Struthio camelus: one gene and its partners. The protein of the gene in region 2 interacts with the protein of the main gene of each other region in a biochemical or structural test. Links are inferred from orthologs where the notes say so. Each region holds a gene or a part of one and is shown on either strand. Other genes may lie near its edges. The genes, in order: NFE2L2, CREBBP, NUP98 and TDG.

What was found.
Region 1: the proteins of CREBBP (region 2) and NFE2L2 form a complex in vitro, tested with the Homo sapiens proteins (2 studies listed by BioGRID, with this or other methods). The link is inferred for Struthio camelus from reciprocal best matches to the Homo sapiens genes CREBBP and NFE2L2.
Region 3: the proteins of CREBBP (region 2) and NUP98 form a complex in vitro, tested with the Homo sapiens proteins (2 studies listed by BioGRID). The link is inferred for Struthio camelus from reciprocal best matches to the Homo sapiens genes CREBBP and NUP98.
Region 4: the proteins of CREBBP (region 2) and TDG form a complex in vitro, tested with the Homo sapiens proteins (2 studies listed by BioGRID, with this or other methods). The link is inferred for Struthio camelus from reciprocal best matches to the Homo sapiens genes CREBBP and TDG.

Annotation. Positions count from the first base shown.
Region 1 is NC_090947.1:20,389,257-20,396,440, forward strand, and holds the start of NFE2L2 (nuclear factor erythroid 2-related factor 2), read left to right. Parts: upstream 1-4,147; 5' UTR 4,148-5,213; coding exon 5,214-5,303; intron 5,304-7,184.
Region 2 is NC_090956.1:18,495,568-18,503,593, forward strand, and holds the start of CREBBP (CREB-binding protein), read left to right. Parts: upstream 1-4,812; 5' UTR 4,813-4,953; coding exon 4,954-5,038; intron 5,039-8,026. UniProt on the Homo sapiens protein: Acetylates histones, giving a specific tag for transcriptional activation. Mediates acetylation of histone H3 at 'Lys-18' and 'Lys-27' (H3K18ac and H3K27ac, respectively).
Region 3 is NC_090942.1:224,224,062-224,232,000, reverse strand, and holds the start of NUP98 (nuclear pore complex protein Nup98-Nup96), read left to right. Parts: upstream 1-4,891; 5' UTR 4,892-4,920; intron 4,921-5,057; exon of another isoform or gene 5,058-5,226; intron 5,227-6,328; exon of another isoform or gene 6,329-6,388; intron 6,389-6,893; exon of another isoform or gene 6,894-7,050; intron 7,051-7,197; exon of another isoform or gene 7,198-7,337; intron 7,338-7,939. Other genes in the region: PGAP2 (post-GPI attachment to proteins factor 2), read right to left, coding at 264-370, 2,658-2,910, 4,727-4,891. UniProt on the Homo sapiens protein: Plays a role in the nuclear pore complex (NPC) assembly and/or maintenance. NUP98 and NUP96 are involved in the bidirectional transport across the NPC. May anchor NUP153 and TPR to the NPC.
Region 4 is NC_090942.1:62,730,064-62,737,488, reverse strand, and holds the start of TDG (G/T mismatch-specific thymine DNA glycosylase), read left to right. Parts: upstream 1-4,194; 5' UTR 4,195-4,332; coding exon 4,333-4,355; intron 4,356-4,614; exon of another isoform or gene 4,615-5,454; intron 5,455-6,527; coding exon 6,528-6,676; intron 6,677-7,425. UniProt on the Homo sapiens protein: DNA glycosylase that plays a key role in active DNA demethylation: specifically recognizes and binds 5-formylcytosine (5fC) and 5-carboxylcytosine (5caC) in the context of CpG sites and mediates their excision through base-excision repair (BER) to install an unmethylated cytosine.

The DNA of each region.
Region 1 (7,184 bases), on a different chromosome or scaffold from region 2:
AAAGTTTAGTTGCAGAGGTCATCCAAGGTTTGTCAGTGAGAGTGTTCCACCATAGCTTATTACACTAACGGCTGTCTTCACCGATGTTGCAGAAGTAGTGACTGGGGCACTTATACAAATGAAGATATTGTAGTCATGAGATGTCCTTGGAGCAAGTGTATTGTAGAGCCTCGGGTGATCTTCTGTGAACTATTTGAAATGAGGTGTGTGGATATATTTCTTAAAAATGTTTCATAACATTGAGTTATAGTTGCACTTATTACTTTTTCTAGTGTAGAGAGGCATTAACCAGGACTGTATGTCAGCTGAGGAGTTTTTGGAAGATTATTCCACTGATATTTGTAAAATAAGTAAAAATAAAAACCCAGCTTTTGAAATGAATAGGATTAAGAAATTAAGGATGGAAACCAGAAGTATTTTAATAGCAAAACTAGTACTATTAAAATAGTATAATATATAAAACAGAGCTGACATCTGAAACTAAGTCATACTAACTTCTGACAGCTGGTTTTCCAAATTGTTTAAGCTGAATTCTTGGCTGTAGAAATACGTATCATGTTGAGGTGTGTCATACTTTTGTAGGCTCTAGCACAGAGAATTCCTGTACAGTGGCTTTTAATATTGTGATTTTTAATTCAGTTTGGATATATGAACTGGAATCTTATAGAACTGTTGTGTCAGTTTTTCAGCTAGTATAAATTGTTGTGACTCGGTGGAATTCTGTAGTTCTGCTGAACATTCTCCAGCTGGAGCTGTGGTCCTTTATCATCTGCCACCTCAGGAATCTAGTCTGCGCAAACCACTCTCGGGAATCCTTGCTCATCTGATAACCAGTGTGGACATATCTCATCATGTCTCAGTTTCTTCTGTTGGCAAAATGAAGAATGGCACTCACTTAAATAATGAAACTATAATGGTGATCTAACAAATCACTGAAGTATTTTAGATTATCCTGAAAATGTCTGTGTTACTAAGATCAGAGACATAAAATTATTTTAAATGCAAAGTGGAATAAACCTGAGGATGAGTATATTTAATAAATCATGTGTGTATATGTGGCATATATGATGAACAAGGTCTTATAAAATGCAAATAGTAATGACAGAATGAACACTTAATATTTGACTGAATAGTGATTTACCCTAACAAGATATCTGTGTCTCATTATGTGAATTACTGTGCTATAGAGAAATTTTGGAGTTTTGTGATTTTTTTACTGACAGCTTGCTTCAGTCTGATTTTCCAGTTGTCAGAGACAGAAAACTGTTCAGCCAGGATCCAAACCTGAAATTCTTTGAATTCTGTATTTACTGTAGATTTTAAGCGGTCATCTACAGATTAATTTTATTCCTTTTGCTTAACAAATTGATTCTAATTCTGTCTGGAAAGCAATTAAATTAATATTGCCTTCTACCAGAAAAATCAGCAGTAAATGCTGATATTAGAAACAGTCTGCCAAATAAATTTATTTTATCGAATTAGGGGATTCAGCACACAAACTTTAATTTGGCAGCAGATATTCAGGACAGTTACACTTACTTTCTATTTCATACATCAGCAAATTGCTGTCCTTCAGCTGCTGATAGATACGCCTGCAGTGTGCTGGGATGTTTCACCCTGCCTTTAGAGATTAGACACTTTCTTCAGAGGCAGCAAGGTAAGTCTGTTTCTTCTCAACCCCTTCTGCTCTTGAAATGGGATCTTTGTAAAGGATTTTCTTTTCACTTTGTTATGCCACTTAGGGTAACTTTTAAAAAAATACCTATGTCTTTCTCAAACGGCAGCTAGTAAAGCTCTCCTCAAAACCCAGCTGTAAAAGTCGTCATACAGAAACTTAGAGGAAAAGGGGTAAGCTACTTCCTTGAATCCCTAGATATAAGGAAGAAGGTGTTTTTTTCTGCAAAGGAGGCAAAAAAGAAGGGACAAACTGAATGAATTAAAAACTTTGAACATTGTTGCTAGGCTTATTCTACCATTAGAAAGAGTCTACTTTGGCTTACCAACACCACCTCTTTCCTTCCTGAACTGGGAATTTCGTGATGGACGAGAAGAGGAACAGAGAAAAGGTATCTGGCTCACATAACAAGAAGCATTAAAGAATTCAAAGGGCAATTAATCAAACGTTCTTCACCAAAATTTATTGTGATGATATGGGTGCAGGAGAAACAATGTAGACTGGAGTAAGAAGCCAGCTAAGCTGAGAAGATAAAAACAATTCCTATTTTCAAATATTGATTGCTTTTATGCCAGGATAGAAGTTGATTAGCTGTGCTGTTTCACTGAATACAGAATAATTAAAAGTCTGAAGGAAAAAGGAAGTTTAGCTCTTTCCCTAATTCTCTTGGCAACCTGTATTTTTTTTTTTATCACAGTCCAACATTCTCCTTTCAGAAGCGACTGTGGAATGCCTTATCAAACTGCAGCTGGTGGTCATGCGAGATAAAATTTGCAGCTCTAGAAAATATCTGAAATGCTCTGAATTGCCCTCTTAAACTGTTTGTATGTAGCACTCAACCAGCACGTGTCTAAGGTTTGAACTTAACTAAGTTAACATGTATTGTGTAAATACATTGCTTTATAAACGTCCAAGAGATCAGTTCATTTTTCAGATAACAGACCAAGTCATTAACTAAAAATAAATGTTTAACAGACTGCACTGAGTTGCTTTGGATTTAAAGTTTCTTGATTTTCTGTAATATACTCACAAACTGGATAGGCTTCTCTTCTTCCTCTCCTCCTCTACCCCCAAATATTGAAGGTTTGTTAAGCATCTTGACATGCACGGAAAATTTTTACTGTTTATGGATGGAAGAGGTATATTGACATGTTTATTATTCATAGAAAACAGTCTTGTTTTGGTTATCATAGCTGCTGGTAGAGTGTGTGAGGGGACACACATCGGGAATAGGCTTCTACCTTGATTTCCTAGGTACATCTGTCCGTTTAATCAGTAGGCTGAAAGAGGCAGGCCTGTCATAACTGACTTCTTTTATGGTAGTGGAAAAGCCACATAGCTGACTCCAGGAGGATCCAGGAGGCAGGGAGACTCCTATCTACGCGAGAGGCAGACAAGGAGGCCACAAGTAAGGTGGTAGGAAGTAGAGGCTGTTGATTTGTGTGGAAAGAGTGAGTTATTGATGGTTGAGTTTAGGGGGGTTTGTTGTTCTCTGGAGGGTTTCAAGCATTATTGCATTTATATAATTTGGTAAGAAATATGAAACAGTTTACTTTGGTTCATGTCTTGGAATATGAGTTAGCCCCTTTTGCTTTCGATTTATAAATTGAATAATGAGCAGGACTTCAAAAAGTAAGGGTTGGGTTGCACAACACAGAAACAAAGCTTTGCTTTCTAATAGCGTTACTCAGTTCCTAACTGGGTTTACCTTTTCTTTATGCAAATGCTGTCATCGTAGACAAAAATGATAAATTGGTGCTTGGACATCTGCTGTGCCTTTCTTGACCTTTCTGGTTTAATGGTTTTAACCATTCAGGGCCTTTAAGTATAAGAGCTTTCTAAAAATCTAGTGAGGAAGGGTTGATAATTTTTAACAGGATTGTTCTTTACTGAGAGATATGTGAACTTCAGTGTTTAAGAAAATGAGCAAAGAAAATCTGACCTTTCCTCATTATAGAGAAAAACAATTCTCATCATGTATTTTGGTATGGCTGAAGGAAGCTGGGAGGCTGAGCAAACTCATTTTGTACAAAGTTAGTAAGGATTTCTATGCTGTTTCTTGTAAATTTAGGAAGAACATTTTTGATTACTTCGATAGTGCACAGTTGAACAATATAGTTATTTAATGATGCTTATCTGAAACTGAAGCATGTCACTAATGAAAGCTGTGCATAGTAAATTGAAGCATGTCACTAGTGAAGGCTGTGCATAAATAAACCATTTAATCATGAATTACTTGTTTTGAAAGATGAACTGTCACCATAGCAAAAATTTGCCACACAGGGAACCCTGTTTCCCAAATCTCTTAAGGTCCTGTAGCGTCAAATGTGAGCAATCGAATAGCAATGTATTTTCGGCTTTTTTCCTGTTTTTTATTCCTCCACAGAAATGGAACAACCTGTCTAAGTGTATTTGAAGTTGAACACTTTATTTAAAAAAAAAAAAAAAAGGAAAATGAGCTGTGCTGAGCTTTTCCCTTCATCATATGCTTGAGGGCAATCAGAAATACATAGTTGCCACTTATTTCTCTGATATAGTATTACATTGAACACTACTTATTTCTGTATTCAAAACTGTGCACTGGCACTGAATTCCCATCATTCATATGTATAAAAGTAATGTATGTGAAGAGTATGCATTAGCTGCAAGACTGATCCACAAAGGAATTAAAGCACCTGTGCCCCACAGATTGCAGCGGGGGGTAGGCTCTAAATACCCTGCTGGATCTGGGCTGGGGTACACAGAGCATGTCACAACTGACCACTGGAGCAAACTGTAATCCCTGCAAAGTTACTATGTAGTTACTGTATGTGTTACTGTGTGCTATGTGCAGTAACTATGTGCGTTACTGATTGGCTCATTTTCTAGGACTGTACTGTAAAAGTAAAGAGGCAGAAGAAAAAGAGGAGGAAAATGTAGAGCTTTTGCCTGAGAAGACTATGTGGAGTGGATGTATCAGATATCAGTGCCATTGGCAAATTCTGTTGTCCAAATTGTATTTGCGTTTGTAGAAAACATTACAGTGCTGCATTTAAAAATAACATAACTCCTAAAGCAGTGAATTTACTTCAAAGTTACTAATCCCAATAGAACGGCAACATTTCTCACTTGTGTCCATGTCCGTGAATTGCAGGCTGTTTTGAGGACCAGGATGACAGTCCAGTTTGTCTCAGAAATAAAAAGGGTATTGGGGTTTATGACTTATGTCAGTTTTCTCTGTCTGCTTTTTCTGTTGCCCAGTTGGAGTGCCTAAAAGTGTGCATACCTCATTAATGTTCTCTTAGTGGAGTATTTTTAATATAAAACAAACTCTGCTCTCTTTTTCCTTTAAACTCCTTTCAATTATTAATCTTTTTATTCTTAAGCTTTTATTCTTAAGATAATACTTCTAGGCTCGTGAGGTGTTTGTGTGGTGAGCTCTCTTCATTTAAAAGCATGCTTGCTCTTTTCTTTGTCAGCTCAGTTTGGAAGTATGGAAGAATGTCCTTGATTCAGCCTTATGAAGTAAATATGTATGTTACTGAATGAGGGCTGATAGATGTGTGCTGGCATACAGTTAGTAAACCTCAACGCTCTTCTAACCCACACTGATATTCCAGTTGCTTGCCCACGACCAACAGCAATAAAAGTAAGTTGCTTGTGAGATCAGTGAAGTGAAACTTGGTGAGAAATGCTTCTTGTAATACTAGAACACGCTATTTCCGCACCCAGGCAGTAGTTTAGCTGTAATAACCCATCTGGTGCCTGTCCCCGCGACCTGCCCAGCCAGCAGCAAAATGGCAGCTAGAAATAGGGGCTTTGTAGTAAGAGATCCCGGTGCAGTGACAATGTGCAGTTCAGCTAAGATTCTAAATAATCTTTGAGAACATTTTGATCTAAGAACAAATGCACTATGTTTTCATGTTTGGCTTGAAATATGCCTTTCCAAAAAGTGGGTAATCCTAGTGACATTAAAACAGTGGCCATGAAGTTATAACCTGAGGTTAATATAACCTAATAAACAGATTATTTGCGATTTTATTAGATTCCATTCTCTGTTTCTGTGTTCATCTTTTTTACTTCCTGATGTGTTTCGCTGGCTGTAAGAGCATGCTATTGTTTGACTGGATCATGTTTCCCAGATGACTGAACCATTATTATAAACAAATCCTCTCCTAGATAAACTAATGGGTAGCCTGTGGCAATGTCCACACACAGTACATGCCTGGCAGGGTACGGCAGGATAGCTTGAAGATAATCATTTAACAGGTAATTGTTTTCCAAATACCATAAGTTCAATATATAAAATGGACTGGGATGCAAAGGCTTATGTGTTCCTTTGGTTAAAAGGTCAGTGGTATTTTTAGATGCTGGTTAAATTCAAGTACGTATTTTTTGTATTATTTGTTTACAGTAAAAAATCCTGGCCCTTCATGTAAAAATAACCAAATTCAATAAATGCCAGTTTTGTTATGGTGCAGTTTTGAGTTTAACTTGGGAGAAAAAACAAATAAAGCTATTAAGACCAACTTTTCCTGAAATGAAGCAGACTTCTGTCTGAGATGGCTGCTATTTGAATACCTTTTAAAATGGAGTTACACGATGTGTCCAGTACGTGGTGGTTGTACAGCAGCTAGAAAGTAAGCCACAGTAGAATCACTCAGTTTATTTGCTGGGGCAGCAGGGCAGATTTTTGTTGATGCATCAAGCATGTACAAACAAATATGCAGGCTAATGCGCTCTTTTCTAAAACAATCTCATCTTTTTGCCAGAGCCTCCCAATTTCATTATGCAACTTGTGTATTAACTTTGCGCACATAAGTGCGACTTAATCGTTTTGTAATCCTACTGATGAAAGATACAGTAAAGAAGTAGCAAATAAATATCTCTGTTAAGCTGAAAGAGGGATTCAGAATGTGAGCAGAAGTTTTTATCTAAACCTAAAAGATGTATTTAACTCAAAGAGGAGTGGACTCAATACGTTGATGTGTTCAGTTCTAATCAAGTGGTAGTATTACTTCACTAATCTATCTCATCACGAATGTTGAGACTAGATAAGGTTCACAACCAGAACTGGGATTGGAACCACGCATTTTTATACTAGCCAAGTAAACTGTGGAAAAGTAAAATTAGATTTTTCAAACAACGTGGTTTTTTGTTTTGTTTTGTTTTTTTTTAAGATGTTGAGGGAGACTCAATCTCCATAGCATTCAGCCCCTGGAAGGCACATCCGCTATATTAAAATTGTGTTATTTTAAAGCTACCTGCTAAAATACACATTGATTAAACAATTTAGGACAACCTGGCTACTTTTGGAGCGTATGAAATAGAATGCCAAACGATCTTCTGCAGAGAGATACTGAGCAAGAATGCCCTGATCTAGCTGCTGTTTCAGAAATGGCCAGTCAGCTAAAGGCAGACCGAATGTGGTGGAAAAAGGAAATATGTATATATTTCTGGCTCTAGAGATTAATGAGCCAGAGAGGAGAATGTCACTCCTGCTGTTTCCCCCCAGGCTCAAAGGGAGTGC
Region 2 (8,026 bases):
TTGAAGACTACATGTTTTTCCTGAACTGTTATTCTCACTTCTGTGAGATAACCTTACTTGTTAAATGGAGGATTTCTGGGCATCAGAGTTATACTTGTAGAAAGGATGGTCATGATAGACAGTGGGCAGGGGTTTAGCAGCTCACAGAAACGTCCATCTTTGCATAGGTAGCACCTAGTCCCCACTAGACCCTATTCAACAGGGTCTTAAAATAATAAATGGTCTTGAAATAATAATTACTCACTGAAAAGGAAAGTGGAATCAAGCTCATGCTTGACAGCATTAAATTACAAGGATGGCACCTACAAAATACAGCCAGCCACTTGCAGATATTTTGTTCTGCAGAAAATCAAGCGATAGGCTGCTTGGGATGTTAGGCGCTGTAGCCCAAGGAACTACGGGTTTGCAAAAGTGCACAGACACAAAGCTAAACACAAAACAGCAGCATGACTGTGGTCCCAGGGGTTACTACCACTTCCTGAACACAAGAAGAATTCACACATACATTGAAAATCAGAAGCCAGAAACAACAGTTATGTCACATAAAGTTGCTCCACAGTCCCATGAGTGCAGGGTGTGTCTAACCAGACATACTTGGAAGAAGAATAGGCAGCACCTTCTCCAGCAACCAGGAGGAGAGAAGATAACGGACACCAGGCTTGTCTTTTTGCCTGGGACAGCTTAATTTCGCAGCAAAACCAGCAGGTTAGGCAACCAAACTCTGGGACATAACGTTGCCAGGAAAAATGGCAGTTCCCAGTGAGAACTGTTCTGATGATGCCATGGTGACCTGCAAGTTACAGTGCAGAGCTCCTCAGAAGTTGTTCAAACACTGTTAATTGTTTGGCTGTGAGGATCTGAGGTCGCACGCTACAGAAATGATACTTCCATGCTTTGGCTGGGGAAGGAAGATAGGCTCTTGGGAGCTGTATCTTTAAGAAGCTTAATTCTGGAGACAGGGAGTCTGGAAATGGGCTGCAGCAGTGCAGGTTTTATTATGCAATTTCTCTTGGACGTAATATAACCCCCGAATAAAGGGGTTATCCATTAAGCACCTGCATTCACAGTGACTCCTGAGCACCACAGATAAAGTCCCCAGGAATCCATGCACGTGCTTAAATTGTCAGCTCGGGGGAGAGGGGGAGCTGTGCTTTTATGCACAAGGTACGGTGGGGGCCAGGACTGGGAATCCGGGGCACAAGTTTGCAGGACTGGGGTTCATCTGCTTGCTGTGTAATATCTCCCAGACAGTCTCCTTCCTTCTCACAAAATCATCCTATTCCAGTTGTAGCTCACTGTGCTTGGCATTACGGTGAGGCCACCTGAGTCTTGCAGGACTGACACAAACAAAGGGCTATGGTATCCTGAGCACTGCAGTACTATTAAGCCTTTTGGGCAAGTAAGGGTCAAGGTCTTCCCCCCGCTCCTGCCAATATCCCCATGCTGTTCTGATCCCATGGCAGGGGGATGACTAGGGCCATCCTAAGGGGACATCATGCCATGGAGAAGCTGCAATACGCAGTAGCATTAGGATTTCCTCTTCCTCTCCTGCTGCCCTGGTGTGCAGGGTTCCTTCCCTCCAAACCACCTCCTTCCTCTCCCCCTCTGGTTTCCGGGACTCGCAGCTCCCCTCTGATTTTACCTACGTGGCAAGTCTCATTTGGCCTGGCACTTTGCTGTAAAGATAGAAGAGCTCTTCCAGCTAGAGGGAGAGGAAGAGTGGCCTACTTCCATCTGCTCCCCATCCCCATTCCCAACACTGAGCATGCAGCATTGTTCTGGCAGGGCAGAGGCACACCAGGGCCAGGCAGGGCCAAGCAGGCTGGTACACAAGCTACCGTGACAGGTTCAGTGGCGGTGTCATGGTCCTCTTGCTTGCTAGTTGTGTGATCAGAACTGCAATACTGGTGGAACTTCAGCATATGGTCTATCAAACATCTTCCTGGAGCTAAGTGGTAGCTGTGGGACCACTTAGGTTCTGTTCCTGGCAGGAGATCCCCATCCTGACTCCATGCCAGAGCTCTAGTGTCATCGCAGCAGCACAGAAGGGGGTCATAAGGGAAGCGAAAGGCTACGGGCATCTGCTGATGCCAGCCACTCCAGCAAATCCTTTATTTTCAAGACCATACACGATGTAACGGGCAAGGTAAGAGCATAAAGTTATCCAAAAGCTACGGTTCAAAACTCGCTGACTGACCTTCTTGAAAAATGCAAGTAGCAGGTAGCAAAGGGCACTGCTGTCCTCTGTTGTGGCTGACAGACGAGCTGACCTGATTTCCGTTTCTCCACGTGCAGCAGAAACACATCTTCCCTCAGCCTAAACTGGGGCAAACACCTTGTATTACAATGAGAAGCTGTTGCAGATCCTCACTTCTGTGTTTTAGATGCCCTACCCATGTGAGAGAAACAGTGCCCCTCTATCATTGCATTGCCCTCATTTTTAAAATACACATTTTACTGCTCCCAGTCTTGAAACATCTCAAGCAGTAGATAAGACCTGAAGCCAAGGGGTTAGTGGCCTGTCACACTACTGCAGAGAAGGCTCATAAACATCTGTAGCAATGGTGTTTAAGCAGCTGGAGCCTCACCTAACCGATATGGACTTCCCACCCAAATGAGCTCCAGCTGCAGGTACCCGTTCAGAACTGGGACTCGTACCTGGAGCTGAAGCCCTGCCTCACACTGGACTACCCTAAAACGTACAAGAACTCTCTGCTTTTTAAGGAGACGTCCGAAAGGCAGACATAACCAGAGAGCCCCCGCACTTGTTTAAGAAATGAGTAATAGACTGATAGAAACAGAGCTGGTTACTGCCAGGCCTCTACAAGAGCAGGCGCCATGTAAATAAATATAGAATTTGCAAGTAAACGTAACGAAATGCATGTAAATATAGAAGTAAATGTAATGAGTATGAGGTAGCAGTAAACAAAAGACAAGGCTTTCTGTTTGCAAAAGAAGGTGTCATTATAGATCTCCTTTCAAAAAATAAAAGATTGCTGTTTAATCCATCTCAGCTTATGGACTTTATGCACACACCGCAGGATCGCCTCAGCTCCTTTCTCCCGCCTGTCCTCCAGTTAGGACTGCTCTTAAGGGATATGTCGACATACAGCAATAAGCGATGAAAACAGCCCTGAGCAACTAGTTTGGGTACGAGACGCTTTGCTGCTATGGCACGTCGCCTGGGCTTATAGAACGACCTTCTTCTCAGGTTAGGAACCAGTACGGAAACCAACTGAAGTACACGAGCTCCAGCCTTACAAACCTGTTTCAGCCAGGGAGGTTTGTCTAGTCAGAGCGGAGGCACGGCTGGAAGCAAGCGGTCGGAGCGGGTGCCCGGCGCCCCGAGCCCACCGGCCGTTAGGTTGGGTCCTGGTGCCTGAGCTGAGCTAGCAGCGACCGGGTCCGGCCGTGGGCGTCCCCGTGGGCCGGCGCGCGGCCCCTGCCCTCGCGTACGGCTGCGGGGCGGTGGCGGACGCCCTCAGCAGCAGCGAGGGGCCTAAGGGCGCGCGCAGCGGGGGGAAGCCCTTCGGGCGGGCTGCGAGGCAGCTCGGGGGCTCGGCGGGGATAACCGGGCAGGCGTTTCGGCAGGGCGCGCGGCCCCGAGCCACGCGGGCCGGGGCGGGCTGAGAGGCGGCAGGCGCGGGCAGAGCCAGGAGCAGGGGGCGAAGGCAGGAGCCCGCTGGCAGCGAGGCCACACGCGACAGGAGCGGGCGGAGGGCGTCTGGGCGCTCAGCGAGCCAGCGCGGGGGGCGACGGGCAGCCAGGGGCAGGGGGGACAGGCCGGCATCGCCTGAAGGCCCCTCTCGTCCCCGTCCCCGCCTGAACCCAGCGCTGGCCGCCTGGGCAAGGGGGCCCGGGCCTCAGCCGCGGCCGAGGGGCAGCTGCGGGGCGCTGAGAGGCGACAGCGACGGGGGGGGGCGGGAGGACGGGGAGGGGGGCGGGGGCCCCGCCGGGCCTCGCGCGGGCCGTTCCCCCCCCCACCCCCCAACCCTGGGCAACGCGCCGCGGAGCAACTGAGGACGAGCTCGGCTCTTTCCGGCGCCGCTCGCGCCTTTCCGGCGGCGGCGGGGGCGGGGGGCGGGGCCCGTGCGCGGTGACGCAGGGCGCAGGCCCCGCCCCGGTCCCGCCCCCATGGTCTCTGGAAAAGAGAAGAGAAAAAAAAACTTTTTTTTTTAATTGAGGAATCAACAGCCGCCATCTTGTCGCGGAGCCGGAGCGCGGCGCGAGCGGAGCGGGGCCGGGCCGGGCCGGGCCGGGGCAGCGGGGCCGCCCGCCGGGGCACGGGCAGCCGCGCGGAGCGCCGCCGACGGGCACAGGGGCTCGGGGCAGCGGGGCAGCGCCGGCCGGGGCCAGCCGGGCGCCGCCGCCGGGACCGGGACCGGGAGCCGCGGCGGCCGCCGCCGCGCCGCCCTCATTGTTTTGGGGCTTTATTTTTTCGGCCCCCGTTGGCCGCGGCTCGCCGCGGGCGGGCGGCGGGGGTGGGGGCGGCGGGCGGGGGCGGCAGCGGGGCCGCGGCGAGCCCCCCGCTCGCAGGGGAGGGGACGGGGCGAGGAGGAGCGGGTGGGGGGGCGCTATGCTCCCCGAGTGACTGACTGAGCCGCCATCCGGGCACCTCCTCGGCGGCGGCGGCGGCAGCGGCAGCGGCGGCAGGGCGGGGGAGCGGCCGGGAGGAGCGAGGCCGGCAGGGAGGGGGCGCTGGGCTCTCCCCACCCCGCCCCGAGCCCTCCTCCCTGCGGCCTGCTGCGGCGGCGGCCCGGCCCGGGCATGGGGGAGCGGGGGCCGCCGCCGGCCGGGCACTGAGCGGCGCTGTTGCTCGGCCGCGGCTCCCGTGCGGAGCGGAGCGGAGCGGGGCGCCTCTCCTCCTCTCCTCTCCGGCGGCGGCGGCGGCTGCCCGCCGATCCCGGGAGCGCGGCGGGCCCCGGCGGGGCTGCCACGGCCGAGCCGGCTACCATGGCGGAGAACTTACTCGACGGGCCGCCCAACCCCAAGCGAGCCAAGCTCAACTCGCCGGGCTTCTCCGCCAGCGACAGCACAGGTGAGGGCCGCGGGGCGGCGCGGGGGCGGCCGGGCGGAGGGACGGAGGCGGCGGCCGGGCCCGGCCATCCGGCGGCGGCCCATCAGCGGGCCGGGCCGCTTACCCGGGGCGGGGGGGGGGGGGGGGAGCGGCCTCCCCGCGGCTTCACCGAGCGGCGGGGGTGGGACGCGGCCTGGCGGGGAGGCGCGGCCGGGGCGGGCGCCCCGCAGCCGTCTGCCGGCGCGGCCGGGCCTCCCGCGGCCGAAGTTACCGGGCGGGAGCCGCGCGGTTGTTCCCGTCCCGGCCGCGCGGCTATAAATAGCGGCGGCCTGGCCGCGGCGCTCGGGGAGCCGGGCCGGGCCGGCGGCGGGGCCGGGCGGAGGGAGCCGCCTGGGTGCGCGGCCCGCGCTGCCTCCGCGGGGCGGGGCGGGGCGGGCGGCGGCGGCGGTGGGGGGGGTCGGTGCTCCTGGAAAGCGGCGGAGCGAGGGCTGCCGAGAGGCTGCTCCGGCTGCGCGCCGGGTTGCGCGGCCGCCGGTGGGGGCCCAGCCCGCGCCCAGCGTTTTTGTGTCGAAAAATTCGCAGCGCTGAAGTTGTGGGGTTTCTTCCGTGACGACACGGCCGGCGGGCTCGGGGCGGCTGCGGCTTGGCCGGGTGTCGTGCAGTCTTCGGTGCGCGCCTCTCTCTTTCTCTCCTTTTTTTATTTTTTTTTTTTTTAAATCGTCGTGGGGGGTGTGGATAATAAAATGCATCAAAACGATCGTTTCCAGTAATCGCCTGCCCGTTGGAAATACGCACGTGTGCAGAAACGCAGGCGTGCGTGCACTTACTTCTGTAAGTGTCCCGAGTGTTCAACACGGGGGCCGCATAGGAACAAGTGATATGTTTGACGGGTCTTTCGGTTCTCGGAGATTAATGAATCTCGTTTAAGGGACAGTGATAAGTTAATCACGCTATGCCTGCTATGTTTCTATAGACTGAAAAAATTATTACCGTAATGGAGCTGATAAACTCTGTGGGTTTTTTTTTTTTAAGTTTGCTCAGTCTGCGTTTGGCAGTAGTTTTATAGATAGGTCTGTGGGTTTGGGTTTTTTTTTTTTTTTTAATGGAATCTTTTTCTTCCCAAACTGCAAAGAAATGAAACATACCAAAAAGAAGCAATATTGAGACTAAGAATGGGTAGAGAATACCTGGGTGAGGTCTTGTGACTGAACTACTTTAATCCCTTTTTGTGGAAGTGACTGAATATCATAGTGAAGGCTGATGCAGAAGGTGCTGTGAAATGCACCGCAGTAACTCAGAAAAACACAGTTTTTCTTTAATTGCCCAAATAGACACGTTAGAGGCTACTGGTAGCCAGGAAAGGATCTTTGAAGCAGGTTTTTCTCTCTCTTTTATTTCCCCCCCCTCCCCGTTGCCTTGGTCTGTTCTGGAACGCTTCAGTCATAATTACGTCCTGTTCAGCAAGTTCTAATGCGTCTTGGTGAGCTCTGTGGAGCACTAGAAATGTAAACTTGAGTATCTGCATAAAGTTTTGCGCAGCTGAGAGGACCTTTGGTCACCAAGGACAGAAAACCTCAGGTTGTGTTTTTGACAAATAGGAGTATTTCGGTTGTGTTCTGTTGTGATCCTAGTGTTCTTCGGGGAGGGGAAGCATCTCTTTGAGGGTGCAAGCGATGTTTGTGTGCTTAAAAGTGCTTTTCTCAATTTGCTTTCTTTTTCTTTTTTTTTTCTTTTTTAAGATTTGTTGCCAGCAGCTAATACTACTTGTTGAAAGATTGCTGAACTCTTCTATGTGTTGTAGTAGGCAATACAAATAGTTTGAGTAGTGATTTCTATCAAATCCCTGGTCCTGAACCTAAAGCAGGCTGCTCTCTTGCACTGAGGCTTAAATAAAAAAGTCGTTGCAACATGGAAGGCTCTTTATTTATTTTAAATCAGAGAGATTTGGGTAGATAGTTTTGAGATTCGTGCCCTTACTTAACAAGCTGTAAGTTGTGTCCTGGATAACTGAATTGTAATTGCAGTCATAAACCCCAGCTGTTTGATGCCGCGGCTTGCGTGATTGGGACATGCTTTAAAAGACATCGTGTTAGGCCCAGTTGTGTAGTTTTGTTGCTGAATAACGAGGCATCAATCCTGCCAATGCTTAGAAATGAGTATAGTGGTGTGCTGGTGAAGGGTCTGGTGGCAGGCCTGAATTTTCAGCAGAATGCAGCTGCTCGCTCTTGTTTATATTTCACTTGATGCTTTGATGCGGTGATCTTGAGCAATTCCTTTTGTCAGGGTAAATGTTAGTTCCCTTTAATCTTTCTGGTAAAAATAGCTTCTTAGCCTACTGTAGCTAAGTTTGTGCAATTTAAACTGGCTTGCTTACGTTCTGAAAATATGACCTTTCCTGTTAAATAGCTAAATCAAATCTCTGATCTAAGAGAAGGGAGTAGAGAAAAGGATAGCAGAAACGTATACTATGTATATCATAAGGTGTCGTAACAGTTAGCACCAGGGCAACTCTGAAATCTGCTTCTGTCAATGAAGTATGCTGATGAAGACCCATGGCTACCGGCTCCGCTGGCCGTTGCCGTTCAGTATTCAACAAGCTGGCTAATATGATAAGAATATTCACGGGCGAGATTTTCCCGTATGTAGCCAGGTAGATTAGCCCTTTTGTCTAATGGCTACTTTATTAGATACCCACTAGTTTTCTTCACTAAGCATTTGTACCTCGTTTAAATCTTATGAGGCGTTCTCATCTGGGTTGCTTTAGAATAAACCAGAGACTAATATGAAAAGTAGAATTATAGTAACTTCAGTTATTGCAGAGTATTATTTTAACATTGAGCGTCGTGATTACTTTGTATATCCTGCCAGTTCACGGTATCCTGCCAAACGAGCAACGCCAGCAAAGTTCTTGAGCTGGTCCTGCTTTGAGCTCTGAGCACAGATTGTGAAAGATGTTTTTGGATCAAGCAGCAGCAAAGCTCGCGTCCGTCGGGTGCCCGTGCGCTGTGG
Region 3 (7,939 bases), on a different chromosome or scaffold from region 2:
ACTAGTCGGGCAGCGCTTCCAGCACCAGCTCTAAGTGCGAAAGGGAATTAAAACGTTCTTCCCTGGTTTGTTTCAGTAAACGGGGTCAAATCATGAATTCTGCTGACCATAATTCCCTTGAGCCAGTTCCACCTGCTGGCGGATCTGATTCACCACCCGGCTGTGCTCGTTTCGGAGGCGCGGACAGGCAAAGCCCTTGCACCGCCAGCGGAGAGCCCGGCCCAGCCCAGCCCAGAGCGCAGAAGAAAGGAAAGGTGCTGTACCTCGGGACTTACTGTGTGTTTCTTAGTCATTCTCCACAGGACGCACGTCAGCAGCATGTGGCCCAAAGCCGACGTGATGAAGACGATGAAGGCGTTTTCGTGGATTGCTGAATCGACAAGACAAGAGGTTTGCGGTTAAAACCGGGCATGGAAACGAGCCAAGAGCCCAAGGGGAACAGGAGGGTCGCCGAGCGGCAGCCCGAGGACCCGAGGGCAGCGCGGCTCCACGCCGCCCGTCCCCAAGCCGAGACGGGGGGGAAGAGCTGTAACAGGAACGCTGCTCGCAGGCGCCTCGTGGCTCCTGGTGAAGCAGGGGCAGGAAAGGGATGTTGGCTTCTCCCGGGGCACGTTATGCCCGCCGAGAGTTATCCCAAAGGCACCTGGCCAAAGAAGCTCAATTGCTCGACAAGGCTGCAAACCTCCAGCACCCTAGAAAGGCAGCCAGCAGCATTGCTCTGGTCCTAGGGATGGGGAAACTGAGGCACAGAGGGTCGTTTGCAGAGTGAGTCAGTCCAGGAGCCAGATCGGGCCATCACCTGGCTTCCCGCGTCACCTACCTGCCACTTAACAACTGGGCCACCAGCCCCGTCATTAACGCTAAGGCTGCTTGTGCGTCGCTGAGCTTAAGTCGATTTGGGGTCAGGCTAGAAAGACAGCTGGCTGGAGCAGCCCTAAACCCGAGTAATCCCAGAGGCCCCAAAGCCACACTGGCTAGGCAAGGCCTAGGCAACTTCAGGTGAGTTATTTTTAAGTGAGTGCTTCCATTTCAGTAAAGAATTTCCCAGCTTCTTCCTCCAAGAACTGAATTCGCAAGTGGAAATAGCAACCAGGACACCCCACCGCAAGGAGCGACGCTTCCCTGCCTTCCCCTCCCTGTTTCAGGGGAGAGGATGCATCAGACCACAGCAAAGAAAGACCGCAGAGGCAGCTCTTATTGTGAAGACATGAGCAGTGTCCTGCCAGAGATGATTAAACTGAGCCCACCGTCATGTGAGGCTGCTGCTACGGTCTGAGACTTTCCCTAGGAACCTGAGATTAGTCTATAATAAGAAGAGCAGAGCAAACTGGGTTAGCCTTAGCTTTTAGCATAGGCTTTGCCCACCCCCTCGGCTGTGCTTCAGCCACCTCCGCCCAGGGCTCTGCACACGTCTGGCGGAGCTGTCATCAGTGCAACGAGCCCCAGGGCTCTGCAGGTAACCAGCCCGCCGGGGAGGAGCGCCGTGGCCCTTTGCAAGGCATATCCTCGAGGATGGCAATGCGCTCTGGGGCATCTGAACGGCGCATCCCGTCCTCTGCGCCGAGGCGGGATCCGCTCGACCCCGCGGCGTTTTCCCCGTGCTCCTGGAGGGCCCCAGTGACGGAGCCGTAGCCCGTCCCGGTAGTTTGCTGCTCCAAGCAATCGAAAGGCTTCCCGACACCCACCGCGTCTGCCTTCTGAGAATTGGTTTTTCCCGTCCGCTGTGGGTACAAACATACTCTGCCGAGTACGGGATCAGCTGCATTCCTGCACCCCAGCTCACCCCGCTCACCGCGGCGGGTAAGCGCTGCTCCCTCGCCTTCCCCAAACTAACGCTGCCGCGGCCTTTCCTTCTCGGGACTGCGCTTGGCTTCCTTCTGGTGGGGCTCTGCGGCTGCGTCCTTCGCGCGCAGCACCCAGAGCCGGGCAGCGTCACCCCAGCGGAGCGCGCTAACATCTGACACGCGACCGTCCCGCCAACAAGCCCCAGAACTGGGGTTGTTTCCTCTGCAAGAGCACCCCCTTGCTGGTGCGCCGGCTCGAGTCAGCCGTCGCGCGTCACCGCTCGCAGTGAAAGTCACTGCCGACGAGACCACGCGGGAGAAGGGCGTTTCCCAGCCCGTCTTGATCCTGTTTTGCATGCTGTGATTTAACCTCAAAAAATCTAACTTGTCCCGAGATCAACATAGGAAGTTTCACCCAGAAAATGTCATGCGAGGATATTTAACAGGCTGCCAGGACAGAGCGTAGGCTGGAAGCCAGTTCTGAGCCAAACCTCAGCTGATAGCAGGAACAGGCACTAATCTTCCTTTGTACACTCGACTGTGACAAGAAGCGTTAAGCATGGTCTCAGCACAGAAGCGGAAACCAAACCGTAAATTCTGATTTCAAGCTTGCTACAAAAATTCAGCCTGTGGTTTGGGCGAATTAACAGCAACCCAGCGTTTCAGGGAGAAAAGTTCCACCCGCACACTGTGGATATAATTTTGCCATATAAACATTACTTGAAGCAGAACTTTTTTATTTTAAACTATTTTCTTCTCCAAACGGACTACTTCCAAAACGTCCTCACGGAGCAGAACTCTGCGAAACCTCGGCAACCGCGAGCAAAGCCACCGGCAAGGCGGCCGGCGCAGAGCGCGGCAAGGGGCACCTACCATAGTTCTCCGACGAGGACACGTAGGTCAGGACGAGGAGAGCGAAGTTTTCGAGCAGGTTGAGCAGCAGGTTGAAGTGGCAGAGGCGCAGGTAGCGAGGGTGCGTGCAGCGGCAGCTCTGGTAGTGGTTCCAGTAGGCGATCGCCACCAGGAAGCGGGGCGCCGAGTGGAGGCCGATGCAGAGCCGCCAGACGTAGCGCTGAGGGGTCTCGCCCCCGATCGCGGCACTGATGGAGGGCAGGTAGTTGGGGACCTGGAGGGAAGACAGCAGCTGCTGGAGAGGCACAGGGAACGTGTGGCGGGCTCTCCGAGACGCTACAGCGATCGGCGAGGTAAGTTTTATTCCTGTGTCACAAGCCAGGGAATGCAACGGCGCAGCAGTCCTGCTTCAGCCTCAGGGTCCATCCAGCCCAGCACGCGGTCTCCAGCGCCGGCCAGGGTGCAGGATCCTTGGCCGGTCTCAGGGAGCAGCAGGGGCGGTTGGGAGAGAGAGGAGAGAAGGGTGCAGTGCATGGTTTTGGGAGCCCATCCCTAACAGGGAAAACTGATAGGAACAATGGGCAAAAGGCATGTTCAGGGAGGAACATAAAAGCAAGCAAAACATCAGTGATACAGCCCCAGAACAGACTCCCAGCCTCAAGGATTCAGAGCTCAGGGACTTCCCAAGCCGGCTGCGATGGCTACGTAGCAGGTAATCCACACCGGATTACTCTTCCGTGATCTCGTTCGGTCTGGCCGGCACCCAGGTAGAGCTGCGTACCCACAGTCTCCTGTGGATGGACAGTCCACAGATCCACTACCCTCTGCTTGAGGAGGAGCCGGGTCCCACGGGGTTGCTGCCAACCTGCCACCTCCATACGGCGTCCTCTAACTCTGACGCTGGCAGAGGGCGAACGGGATCCCTGTCTGTGCTCTGCACGCCAGCCATGGCTTTAGAGGTCTCTATCCTACCTCTCCCACCTCATCATCTCTTCCCATTTGACAATGAAGGATCCTTGCTTACTTCGTCATCCCCACGTGACGCCTCTGAGCATCCTCGCTGCTCTCCTCCGTACAGATCCCGTACTGCTGCTTGGGAGGAGGGGACAGACCTGCACGCGTTGTTCAAGACACGTCTCAGCCACGGGCCAACACCGGCATGAATGCCGCCCGCTCTGCTCTACTCCTTTCCTAACAACTCCTGGGCTTTGATTGACTTTTTCAACTACTCCTGAGCACCGAGTGGAAGTTTCACGAGAACATCTATCGCTCCCCCAGACCTCACTCCGGAGCGGCGATGGTCAGCGCAGAGCCCACCTCCACCTCATTGTAGGCAACCTCAGGAGTGCCTGTCCACATGCACATCACTTATTTCTCTGCATGGAACCGCACTGGCATTTTGCTGCTCGGTCGCCCAGCTGCGTCCCGCCCTGGACGCAGCCCCTGACAGCCTGCCTCACCCTTCCTGCACCAGCACCTTGCCATCGCCAGCAGTCTTCGTCACCCCACTGCGCACGGGCACAAGGAAGACCACAGACACCTGTAACACCCTGAGGTCACCTCCTCCTGCTGCTGTGAGAGCTGAGATTATCTACTCCTGCCTTTTCGCTAGGTGCTTGTGCAGGCACAGACTTCCACGCTTGTGCCGCGGCTGCTTGAAAGCCTTGGTGAGGAACCTGATCCGAACCCTTCTGGGAACCCAAGAGGTCCCTGTCAACCGGACCGCTCCCAGGCACGCGCTTGCGACTCCTCCAGTGCCTCCAAGAGGCAGGAACTCCTTTTGCCAAAGCTGGGTTAACTCTTCCATGAGACACCATCTTTATCTGCAGCTTCGCTAGTTCTGCTCTCCAGTCACCACCCGCCTGCTCAGCACAGACGTCGGCCAGGCCAGGCTGCGCTACCCTCCATCCCTTTTTAAAAGCGGGAACCTCAACCGCTAGTCACGCGGCATCAGCAGCACAATAACGGAGAGGAACGTATCCAAGGTCACGTATCCCGGCGGGGGGGAGAGCGCGGAGCAAGGCAGGATTCCCGCCGCGCCAGGCGCCCCCTTTGCAGACCTCTGCGTTTGGCCGGTGAGAGGCGCTTACCCCGCAGTGGGTGGCTGTCGTCTCCTGGAAATGGAACAGCAGAGACCAGATCACGCAGAAAAGGAAACCAAACAGCGGGCAGAACACGGTGCCAACAGCCAGCGTGGTGAAACGGAGCCGGAACAGGATCCCATCGCGGTCCAGGGGCAGCGGTACCTGTAACATGTCGACGGACCTGCAAAGAAGAAGCGGAGGTGGGAAGGGGACGGAGCAGCCCGTGGCGAAGTGCAGCCCTCCGCCCCCCCCCCCCAAAGGACGCGGCCCCTCTTTCGGGCTGCGGAGCCACCCCCCGGGGCTCCCGTCAAACCCTGGCAGGGGGGAAGCAGCTTACCAGCGAGGGTCGGAGGCCGGCGGCGGCGTGCCGGCCCCCCCGGCGGCGCTGAGCTCCTCGGCGCGGGGGCAGCGTCTGCCGCAAGGGCTGCGTCCGGCTCCGGCTCCGGGCCGTTACCTGCGCGGCGGCTCGGCCATCGCGGCCGCTCTAGGCATCGCGCTGGGGGGGGCTGCGGGCAAACGGGGGGGGGGGGGGGGGGGGGGCGACGTGAGAGCCTGGCCCGGCCCCCGCGCGGCCAAAGCCGAAAAGCGAATCAGCGCTGTGACCGTCCGAAGAGCTCAACACCCCCCACCCCACCCCGGCCCCCCGTGACCCCCCCTCTCGCTCCCAACATGACCCACCCCCAGCCCCCCCCAGCTCCATCCGTGACCCCCCCCGGCTCCCCACTCCCCCCGTCCCCCCCAGCTCCATCCGTGACCCCCCCCAGCTCCTCACTGCCCCCACGACTCCCTCAGCCCCCTGCTCCCCCCCCGGCCCCCTCACTCCCCCCGTCACCCACCCCCAGTCCCCCCCAGCTCCATCCGTGACCCCCCCCAGCTCCTCACTGCCCCCATGACTCCCTCAGCCCCCTGCTCCCCCCCCGGCCCCCTCACTCCCCCCGTCACCCACCCCCAGTCCCCCCCAGCTCCATCCGTGACCCCCCCCAGCTCCTCACTGCCCCCACGACTCCCCCAGCCCCCTGCTCCCCCCCCGGCCCCCTCACTCCCCCCGTCACCCACCCCCAGTCCCCCCCAGCTCCATCCGTGACCCTCCCCAGCTCCTCACTGCCCCCACGACTCCCTCAGCCCCCTGCTCCCCCCCCGGCCCCCTCACTCCCCCCGTCACCCACCCCCAGTCCCCCCCAGCTCCATCCGTGACCCCCCCCCAGCTCCTCACTGCCCCCACGACTCCCTCAGCCCCCTGCTCCCCCCCCCGGCCCCCTCACTCCCCCCGTCACCCACCCCCAGTCCCCCCCAGCTCCATCCGTGACCCCCCCGGCTCCCCACTCCCCCCACCTCCTCCCATGACCCCCCCAGGTCCTCACTGCCCCCACGACCCCCCCGGCTCCCCCCATCCCCTGTGACCCCCCCCAGCCGCCTGCCACCCCCCCGGCTCCCCACTCCCCCCGTGACCGCCCCCCGGCACCTCACTGCCCCTACGACCCTCCCACCCCCCCGCTCCCCGCCACCCCCCCGGCTCCTCACTCCCCCTTGCTCCCCCCGGCCCCCCGTGACCCCTCCAGCTCTCCGCTCCCCCCACGTCTCCCCCCCCCGTGACCCCCTCGCACCCACCGGCCCCACACGGCTCAGTCCCGCCGCCGCCGCCGCTCCTCCCCGTCCTCCCCTTCCTCCTCCCCCCGCCGCCCGCCTCTTCCTGCCCACCCTGGGCCAGGCCGCGCCCGCTCATCCCTCCTCTTCCTCCCGCCTCCGGCCCCACGCGGGGCGCGGCGGGGCCCAGCGCTCTCTGAGGCGGCCCCACGCGGGGCGCGGCGGGCCCGAGGCCGCTCCGGGGAGGCCCCACGCGGGGCGCGGCGGGCCCGAGGGCTCTCTGGGGCGGCCCCACGCGGGGCGCGGCAGGGCCAAGAGCTTGTGTGTCTCTTTGGTGCAGCCCCACAGGAGCGTACGGCGGCGCCGAAGGCTCTGGGTCAACATCGAGCGCCCCACGGGGACGCGCGTGGGGCTGGAATCGCCTTCGGCCCCGCGGGGCGCCTCCCCCCCCCCGGTGGAGCAAGTGCTTCCCCGCGGCGCCCCTTTAAGGCCCTCGGCCCCGCCCGCTGCGTCACAACATGGAGGCGGCCCGGCGCTGCCGGGTTGGCCAGGCCGGGGGAAGTCCCGCCCCCCAACGCCCCGGATGTAGGGTAGCCCAGTGGTGCGGCTGTTCTGGACCCTTCCTCAGTGGCCGCCCTTCCCCCTCCCGGGGCCCGGCCAATCGGCGCTCGGGTCGCCGCAGGACGCGGCGCGTGGCTGCAGCCAATCAGAGAGCAGCAGCCCCTTCGCTTCCCGTTCCCACCAGGGTGAGGTGGGAGGGGAGGGGAGCCGTCTCGCTTTCAAAGAGCGGCAGCCAATGAGCGGCGGGCGCGCGGGGGCGGGGCCGGCCAATAGGGTAGGCGGGAGCGGCGCGCGCGCCGCGGCGCAGGGGCGGCTGGGAGGCGCGCGGAGCGGAGTGTGACGCAGATTCCCTCCCCCTGTGAGGCGGCGGCGGCGGCGCGGGAGAGGCGAGGCGAGGCCCGGCCCGGTGCGGCCCGGCCTGGCGCGGCCCGGCGCTTCCCTTCCCCCGGCCCTTCGGCGACCCGCGCCCGCGGTGAGCGACGGGGACGGCCCCGGGCGGGCGGGGGGCGCCCCGCGGCCTTTGTTGGGCGGTGCCGGGAAAGGGGGGAGGGCCGGGCCGCGGCTCCACGCGCGGCCCCGGGGCCGGGCCGGGCCGGTGAGGAGGGGGGGAGGCCGCGCTGTTCCCCAGCCGCCTCCACCGCGAAGGGGCTGCGGGTGACCTTCGCTGCCGGTTCGGTTCCGCGCCCCCGGCGGTGCGGAGCGCCCCGGCCGGGCCGGCCCCCGCCGGGCCGTGGCGGTGTGGGAGTTTGTCGGGCTGGCTCCGTGGGGGGGGGGGGCGCGCGGGGTGAAGCCGAGCCCTCCGTCCCCACAACCGCTGCGCGTTTACACGTTACCTGTAAACTCGGCAGCGTAGGCGCTGCCCCGCTTTCAGGGGCTTAAAGCGGTGGGGGTCTGGGAGCAGCGCCACGGGTCTGTTAACGCGGTGTTTAAATTATGTTCAGGTATCTTGGTTCAGGCTCTGTTTGGGTGCGGTTTGAGGCTCGTGTTATGTTGCTGTAAAACTATGGTTAGAGCCCTCTTCTTCAGGTAAAGCAAGGGAATGGCTGCCGATCAGGTGAAGGTTGAGTAGGGTGC
Region 4 (7,425 bases), on a different chromosome or scaffold from region 2:
TTGTGCTCTGTAGCAATCAATTGCTCCTAAGATTTTGATTTAATACTTCTAAAATACAGCTTGTAATGAATCTGGAGAGTTAGTTTGGAATGTAAAGAAAACATCCCTTACTGGGTTAAATATACATTCAGAGCCCTTCTGAAGAAGGGTGTACGTTTATTACATGTCTATATTATACCTCTGCCTGACCAGCTTGAGTAGTATATGTGATTTGCATCTACTGTATGTTTAAGAGCTTTTTAAAACAGCTAACAACTACAGAAGGAATATTATTGGAAGTATAGGGTTGTTTGCTACAGAACTCTTAAATCTGTTAATTATTTGTCTGCTTTAAGCAACCTTTGCTCTGTTCCACAGCTGAAGTTCTCATGCTTTGGTTGGTTTCAGGATGCTGTCTGATTCACTTTTGGAACTAATAAAAAGCATGCTTTGAGGGTCATTGTTCATGCTTCTTCATCTTCCTCAATTGAGGGTATTGTATGCAATATGGTGGTGTGCTAGCTGCCCTCCCTGCTGTGGAGTGACAAGTGTTTGCTATAAATAAGCACAAACATGCAGTTGTAAGCTTTTTGGCCAGCTTGATGGAAAAGCATATCAATGCTGGAAGAGCTATCCTCTGCTCTTAGGGGTGTGGGGGTGGGGGGAACGTTTTGGGGTTTTTTTGTCTAGTGGTGTGGTTATTCTGGTTTTGAGGAAACTGCCTTTTTTGTTTACGTTGTCTTGCCAGTATTGCTGTTCCTAGAGGGGTGCTCATCAGTTGTTCCCTTAGTGCTAGTGGAGGCTGGGGTAAAACAAGTGTTCCTTGTTGCTCAGTTTCCATTAGCAGCAGGATGCTTTTGGGGGTTCTGATGAAAGTGATGGTAAGCTTCTCTATGGTACCTTCTAGCATGAAAGATTTAGTCTCTACCTCAGATGGAAAGGCAACAGTGGAAGGACAAAGGTGATACAGCATGAGTAACTCGAAGGACTGGGGCCTCTTGGCTCTAGAGGGACAATTCAAAAACCACTGTTCCTGCTTCAGCTACAACTCAAGTGGGAAGCTACAGCCTTGAACAGAAGCAAAACTGCTGTGAACATCTTGACTCTTCAGGGAACTTTATTGATTCTCATGCAAAGGTCTCATGCTGAGGTGCAAGGTTTTCAGTGTTGTCTTTGGGTGTAGTGGGGGGGGGGGGGAAGTGTTTCCACTGGAACTGGGCCTAATAACATCTGTGTCCCTCTGGATTTAAGTTTTCATTTGGTGTACTTTTTGTATGACTGTCACTTACAAAGGTGTCTTCCATATAGGAAGTCTCTGGCCTAATTAGGCTGCAGTATCTGCTTAGTGTCAACGTCCATAGGGGCACATAGGAGCAGGAGAGAGCTCATCCTACTCCCCTGCCCCCTATACTATCTTTTCCAGCATGTTTGTAATGGGTCAATAGCCTCAAAAGCTATGAGGTTTGGACACAAATGCAGTACAGCTGTACATCACTTAAGTGTAATCTGTGTATACTTACTTGGTCTGTTTTAACTAACATGACTACGGTTTCGGGTCCTTCAATCTTAAGAGTGGACCAAAACTTCCTCTTGGAATTACAGACAGCTCATAACACCACAGCAGTAGGAAGGGTCCAATGCAAGTGCTGTAATGAGGAATCTTATTGCATATACAAATAACTTACTATAGTAATTATATGTTAGGTCCAATAAAATTGATTTCTCACCCTTTTTAAAATTTGAACTCCTAACAGGCAAGTAGGGTTCTGCTACAGAAAAACAGGTAAGCTGCTTAAGGCTGATGAGGGTCCATAAAAGTTCAACTCTTCAATGTGCTAATCAGCTTAAACCTTTCAAATTCTATCAGCCTTGGCCAACATAATCTTAATCTTTTATCCTTCTGAAGGATATTTATGTTGCAATCAAAGTCACAAGTGTACACAGCTTGCTGGACTTTGAACAATATTCTTAATGCATTTATTCTTATGCTACCTGTAACTACTTCCAAGAAACAGAAAAACATTATTAAGAGTACAGTATTTCACAGGCACATTTTTAATCAAGTTTGCAAAGCTCCAGTTGACACAGTTGAACAATGTTAACAGTTTGTCTTCATAACTTAAGTAAATTGTGATCACTGCTGTGACGTTTGACCTTGGCTTGTTCTTTCTTTTAGACCCAGCAGTTCTGTTCTCAGCTCTCCAGGCTTAGGAGGTACTTCAGGTATACTCTGTTTAAAAACAGAAATGTCAGTGCTTTGGCAGAAAAAAAAATAAACAGTAAATTTATGTACCCTGTAAGAAACAGTAGTATATCCACATTGTGATTGTATTTTTGCTCTTTCTCAAAGAGTATAATAATCTTTCTGACTATTTTAAAGTAGGAAAAAGTAATCTGAAAAAAATGAGAAGGGAAGAAATAAAAATAACTTGATTAAAGGGACAGTTTCCTCTAATCTGAAAAAGGAGGCTCTTTGGAAGTGACCAGTATAGTTTTAAAACATCAGCTGAAGTTTCCATACATATTATCTCTCTTCGTGACCAAAATAAAAAAAGCCTCACCACTTCTATCTTTTGGTTTTACAAATGAAACACTGAAGCTAGGGATGAAATTGTATATTTACAAACACACACATCTATGTATGAACAATCAGCCTATTACCCTGTAGTGAAGTACTTAAGTTGAAACTGTTAAAAATGCATAAAATCTTTAATGTACCTATACAGCAATGCAAAAAAAAAATCAATTTTTGAGATGACTGTTCAAGCGTAGTGATTTTTTAGCTAATTCCTAATTTAAATAACAGTGTTTTTAAATGACAGCAACAATAAAAAGTATACAGGAGGAGGAGAGCAGGCTTACAAGTGAGAAGGATGCCAGGAGACCATATCAACCATTACTGTACTGGGTGGGTGGTCATGTTTGGACTTTGGTTCTCCATGATCAGAATTTTGACTGTGACTCCTAATATATTAAACCTTTAGGCATCTTGATTCTCATTAGGAGAAAAAAAATTAATTTTAATATAGCCGCCTCTTGCCACTTTTACATGCTCCTTTCAAAAAAACTTCCCACAATCAAAATTTATTTTGAAGAATTTTAGGTAACTATGATTGTATTTTGTATCTTGTTCCTAATTAGAAGAATGCTCCCATGAGAAGACACCTGTATGCTTCCTGTTCTGATGCTCGTATTAGTGTGTTTTCTTTTTTTTTGGCAGCAGCACCACGGGACTTTTGCCCCACGCATCTTTCCAAACAAAATTGCCACAGACGATTCTTCACCTCGCATGCACGCTCTTAAGCCTCTCCGTAAAAGCGATCACAAATGCGGACTCTGTGAGCACTTACAAGGCCAGGTCTGTAATATCTGTGCACGACCTCGGCGCCCGCAAACATGGCCAGCATACTCGCCCCGACCGTTTTCAGGTAGGTGGGCCAAGGCACGCCCGCCGGCATGGCCGGGCCGCAGGGGGAACCGGGAAGGAGCAACCAGGCGATCGTCGCCTCGCTCCGGCGGGGCTTCCGCGGCGCAAGGACGGCGGCCACGGCCCTCGCGTACAAAATAACCGCCGGGGCAGAGCCGGGCCGAGGCTGCGGGCGGGCGCCGTCACCGCCGCCGAGGCCCTAACGGCAACTCCGCGGCGGCCGTTGGCGTCGCCGCACGGCGTGACGCACCGGATGTGCGTCATCCCCCGCGCGCTCGCAGCCGTTGGCCGGCGGCGGGGTCAAGCCGGCTGGGGGCGGGGGGGAGGCGGGAGGTGCCGCCGCTGCCCTGGGCTTGGCTGGACGCGTTTTCACTCCTACCCCGCGGCAGGCATCCGGCCTCCGCCCGCGCCCCCCTCCCCCCCCCCGCCTTACGGTGCCGAGCCAGCAGAGCTCTGTGGTGCAGGCGCGGAGACGCGGCGGGGCCGCGGGGTGGGGGGTCGCTACACAGTACCTCTCCGCGGTGCGGACGATGCCGGTTAAGCCATGTCCCTGAAACCCTCCGAGGAGCGTGTGGCAGGGGAGGCGGGCCTGGGACGCGCCGGCAACGGCTCGGTCGCACCCGCCTTGTCCCGAGCGCCCGGTGGGGGGGGGGAGGGCCAGTGGCGGCAGCACGACACCGTCTCCCGCCGGCACCGCCCCGCGCGCCCCTCCCCCACCGCCTCACGGGCCCGGCTCGCTCCCCATTGGCCGCCGCCGCTCACGTGACGCGCGGCTGCCCGGCAGGTCTGTTGGGGAAGCGAAGGTGCGGGGGGAGGGGGTCGGCAAGCAGTGGCGGGGGGGGGGGCGGCCAGGCCGGGTCGCGTCGCGCCGCGCCGCTCGTCCTGACAATAGCCCGCTCCGCTCCGGGGAGGCTCCAGGCTTGGGCATGGAGGCCGAGGAGCTGAGCAGGTACCGGCCGGGGACGGGAGCCGCGTTCAGGCCTGGCGCTGGGTCGCCTTTCGTCTCCGTTCTGCCCTCCGTTAACGGCCGGGGGGGGAGCTGGGGCCGGGTTCTGATGCCCTCCCCTCCCCCCCCATCTCTAGGAGGGAGGGGGAGGTGCGGCCGCGCGGGCCGGGCTGACGTGTGCGCGGGCGCGGAGGGGGCCGCGGGCGGGGGGGAGGGGAGAGGGGAAGGCTTGGGCACCGCGTAGATGCAGAAAATGCACGTTGTATTAAGAGTGCGTAGAGCAACCTGTGGGCTTGGAGACTGCGGTGTGCGGGGGGGGGGGGGGCAGGGGGTCTCGGCGCGGATGAGCGTCCGTTTCTGTGGGGGTTGAGCGGCTCTGGGGCTCATTGTGTGTAAAAGAGAGGGCTGCGCGCGTAGAGGTGGAATTTGCAAGTGACTTAATATATATATTTTTTTCTTCTGGGGGGATTTTTTCTTTTTATTCCTTTCTAGCTTGCACTGAATTGAAGGGGTTTCAATCCGTGTTTTTTTTCTTTGTTGAACTGACAATATTTATTTGAACGTTCTTTTTTGCCTGTAACACGTTCCATAACATATCCCGTTCATCTGTAACAAAACGTCGTGGTTCTGAACCTTTACAAGAAAAACGATTCTCCAAAAGAAGTTAAAAACAAAAAGATGTATACGAGCGTTAGGGGTGAGGGTGAAGGCTCTCTTTCGTCCCATCACTAAGCGGTTAGAGGACTCGTCTGTGACATGGTGCCAAATTTTCTTCTGTTTAAAGGGAGTTTGATCGGTACCTTATAAGAGATTATCTTGTTAGCGACTCTTTTTGTGCTAGACACTTTTAAGTCTCTCTCAGACGTTTTCCTGTTCTGTATAATTAAGCGTTTAGCAGACTAGGAACTGGATTCTTTGTCTCAGCTGTGTTCCCTAACACGTATCTGACAATCAGTTTTGCTGCCTGGTTCAGTAGTTGCATGAGTATTTTATATTAAATGGAACAACGCTAGCTGGAGAGACTGGGGTGTTTACTATACTCCGAAAACATCCCATGGCTTCGTTGGACTGCTCCCCAGAAATCTGGGAGACCTAAGTTCAGGTTCGTTCTCCTTGATTCAGGGCAGGTATTTGGTTCAAGGTTAGTGGACTGATCGCAAGACTGTGGGCTGTTCTGGGATAAATCTGATTTACAGTAGGATTCTTAAATATTCATTGAATAACAGAGAATGATGCCTCCCCATCACAAGGGTGGTAAGTGTGTGCCTTTGAGGTACCCATATATAGCTAAAATTATTCGGTATGTTTATGAGTAGCTTTGAGATGATGAACATATTCTTTGCAGTTTTACTGTTCGTGAAAACTCTTTTATGCATCTGAATAGCAGTGGAAATCTATGGACAAAAAGCAGGCTATATAGGTAGAGGGAATGGGAATACGAAGCACAAGTTTTTGTTGGTATGTATGGCCTGCACGTGTCTAATAGATATGTAGAGCAGAAGGGTTACGTAGGGCAAAACGTCTGTGTGCATGGAAGGAGGCTGAATCTGTGCATAAATGCTTTTCTATAGAATAAGCACAGTACTTGTGTTGAGCTGCAGAGCGAAGTAACTGGACAGCATCTACTGCACTGTTTCTTAAAGCTCTTTAGTAATCTGCGCAGTAACTACTGCTACGTGTGTTTGTAAGGTTTTGTACCCCATTCTGCACATCCGTTCTGTGTCATCAGATAAAGTAACTGCTGTGACAGTAAGAAAATTTAAAAGTTGGGAAACCTTTTAAGTCCAAAGAGTTTTAACTCAGTTGTGTTGTACTTGGTCACTGCATTTGATAGACAGCTTGTGCTGTTAATATATTCTACAAAGTGTTTTTCCAGAGGAATGGAAGCTCTAGGCTGTGCTTACAGTGTTGCAATTCTTTAACCTTTTGTTACTTAAAAGAGGGTTGGGCTATTCCTGTTGAGTTGAACATCATCCCACACCCAAGAAACAGTCTGACTACTTAGTGGATTTGGATAATTTACTGCCTTGTTTTGCTAACAGACTATACTGGAGAGTGTACTTGCAGTACATGCCAGCCTTGACAGAGATTGGTGATTACAGACTACTTGGTCCATCACTGAATTTCTAAATTGTTGATGAATTGTCTTTTTTTTTTTTTTCCTGCCTTTCTAAGATATTACTCGCATCTTCAGCAAATTCAAGCCTTTTATACGTTTCCGTTCCATCCAATGATGACTGCAGTGCCCAACATGGAAGCCATGACTGAGCAGCCCACTCTAGAGGACGTTCCAGAGCCAAACTTGGCTCAGGAACCTACTAAAGGTAGGTAGCTTGATCGGACTATATTAACCGAGCTAAAAAAAATTTCTTGATTTAAATATATATATACACGTACCTGTGTGTACGTATGTGTATACGTATATTTGTTTTAATAAACTGCTTCTTTAGACCTATTGGATTTCCTTTCCTTGGTGCTCTTTGAGGAAGTATAGAGTATGTATACTTTCAGTATGTATTGAGAATTTAATTCAGTATGAGGATGTATTCTGTTTAGTAACACTTGTTACCAAGTAGTAGAGTTAAACCTGATTATAATATTCAAGTAGTCCAGTTTCGAAAAATTATCTTGTCCCAAGAACAGCGAATTTTTGTTTTAATAGGTAAAAGTATCATCTTTAGTTGGTTTCACGGCATTTAACATTAGGTTAGAGAGGGAAGGCTGTCTCTCTTTTTTTCTAGGCTGAGCTGAAAGTTGTTTTGTTTTGCTTTTTAATTGTGAAAGAAAAATACAGTGTAATATTGTTTATTTAAAGTATTTTTGTTAAAATGGTGTTTCTTTGGTGTGTTATAATAATCACAAATACTGAATTGCTAGTATGCACTAAGGATTGTTTGTTTTTTAATGAGTGTCCCTTTTTCTTAAACAAATGCATAAAAACTAAGAAGTATACTCTATGTCACATGTGTTTTCTAATTTATGCACTTCTACATTGCCGTCCTTCTTCCCTGCGAGGATTTTGTTCGTTTAGGTCTTACGTCTTTAGATCTTCCTTTTAGTTCTGTTGCTCTGG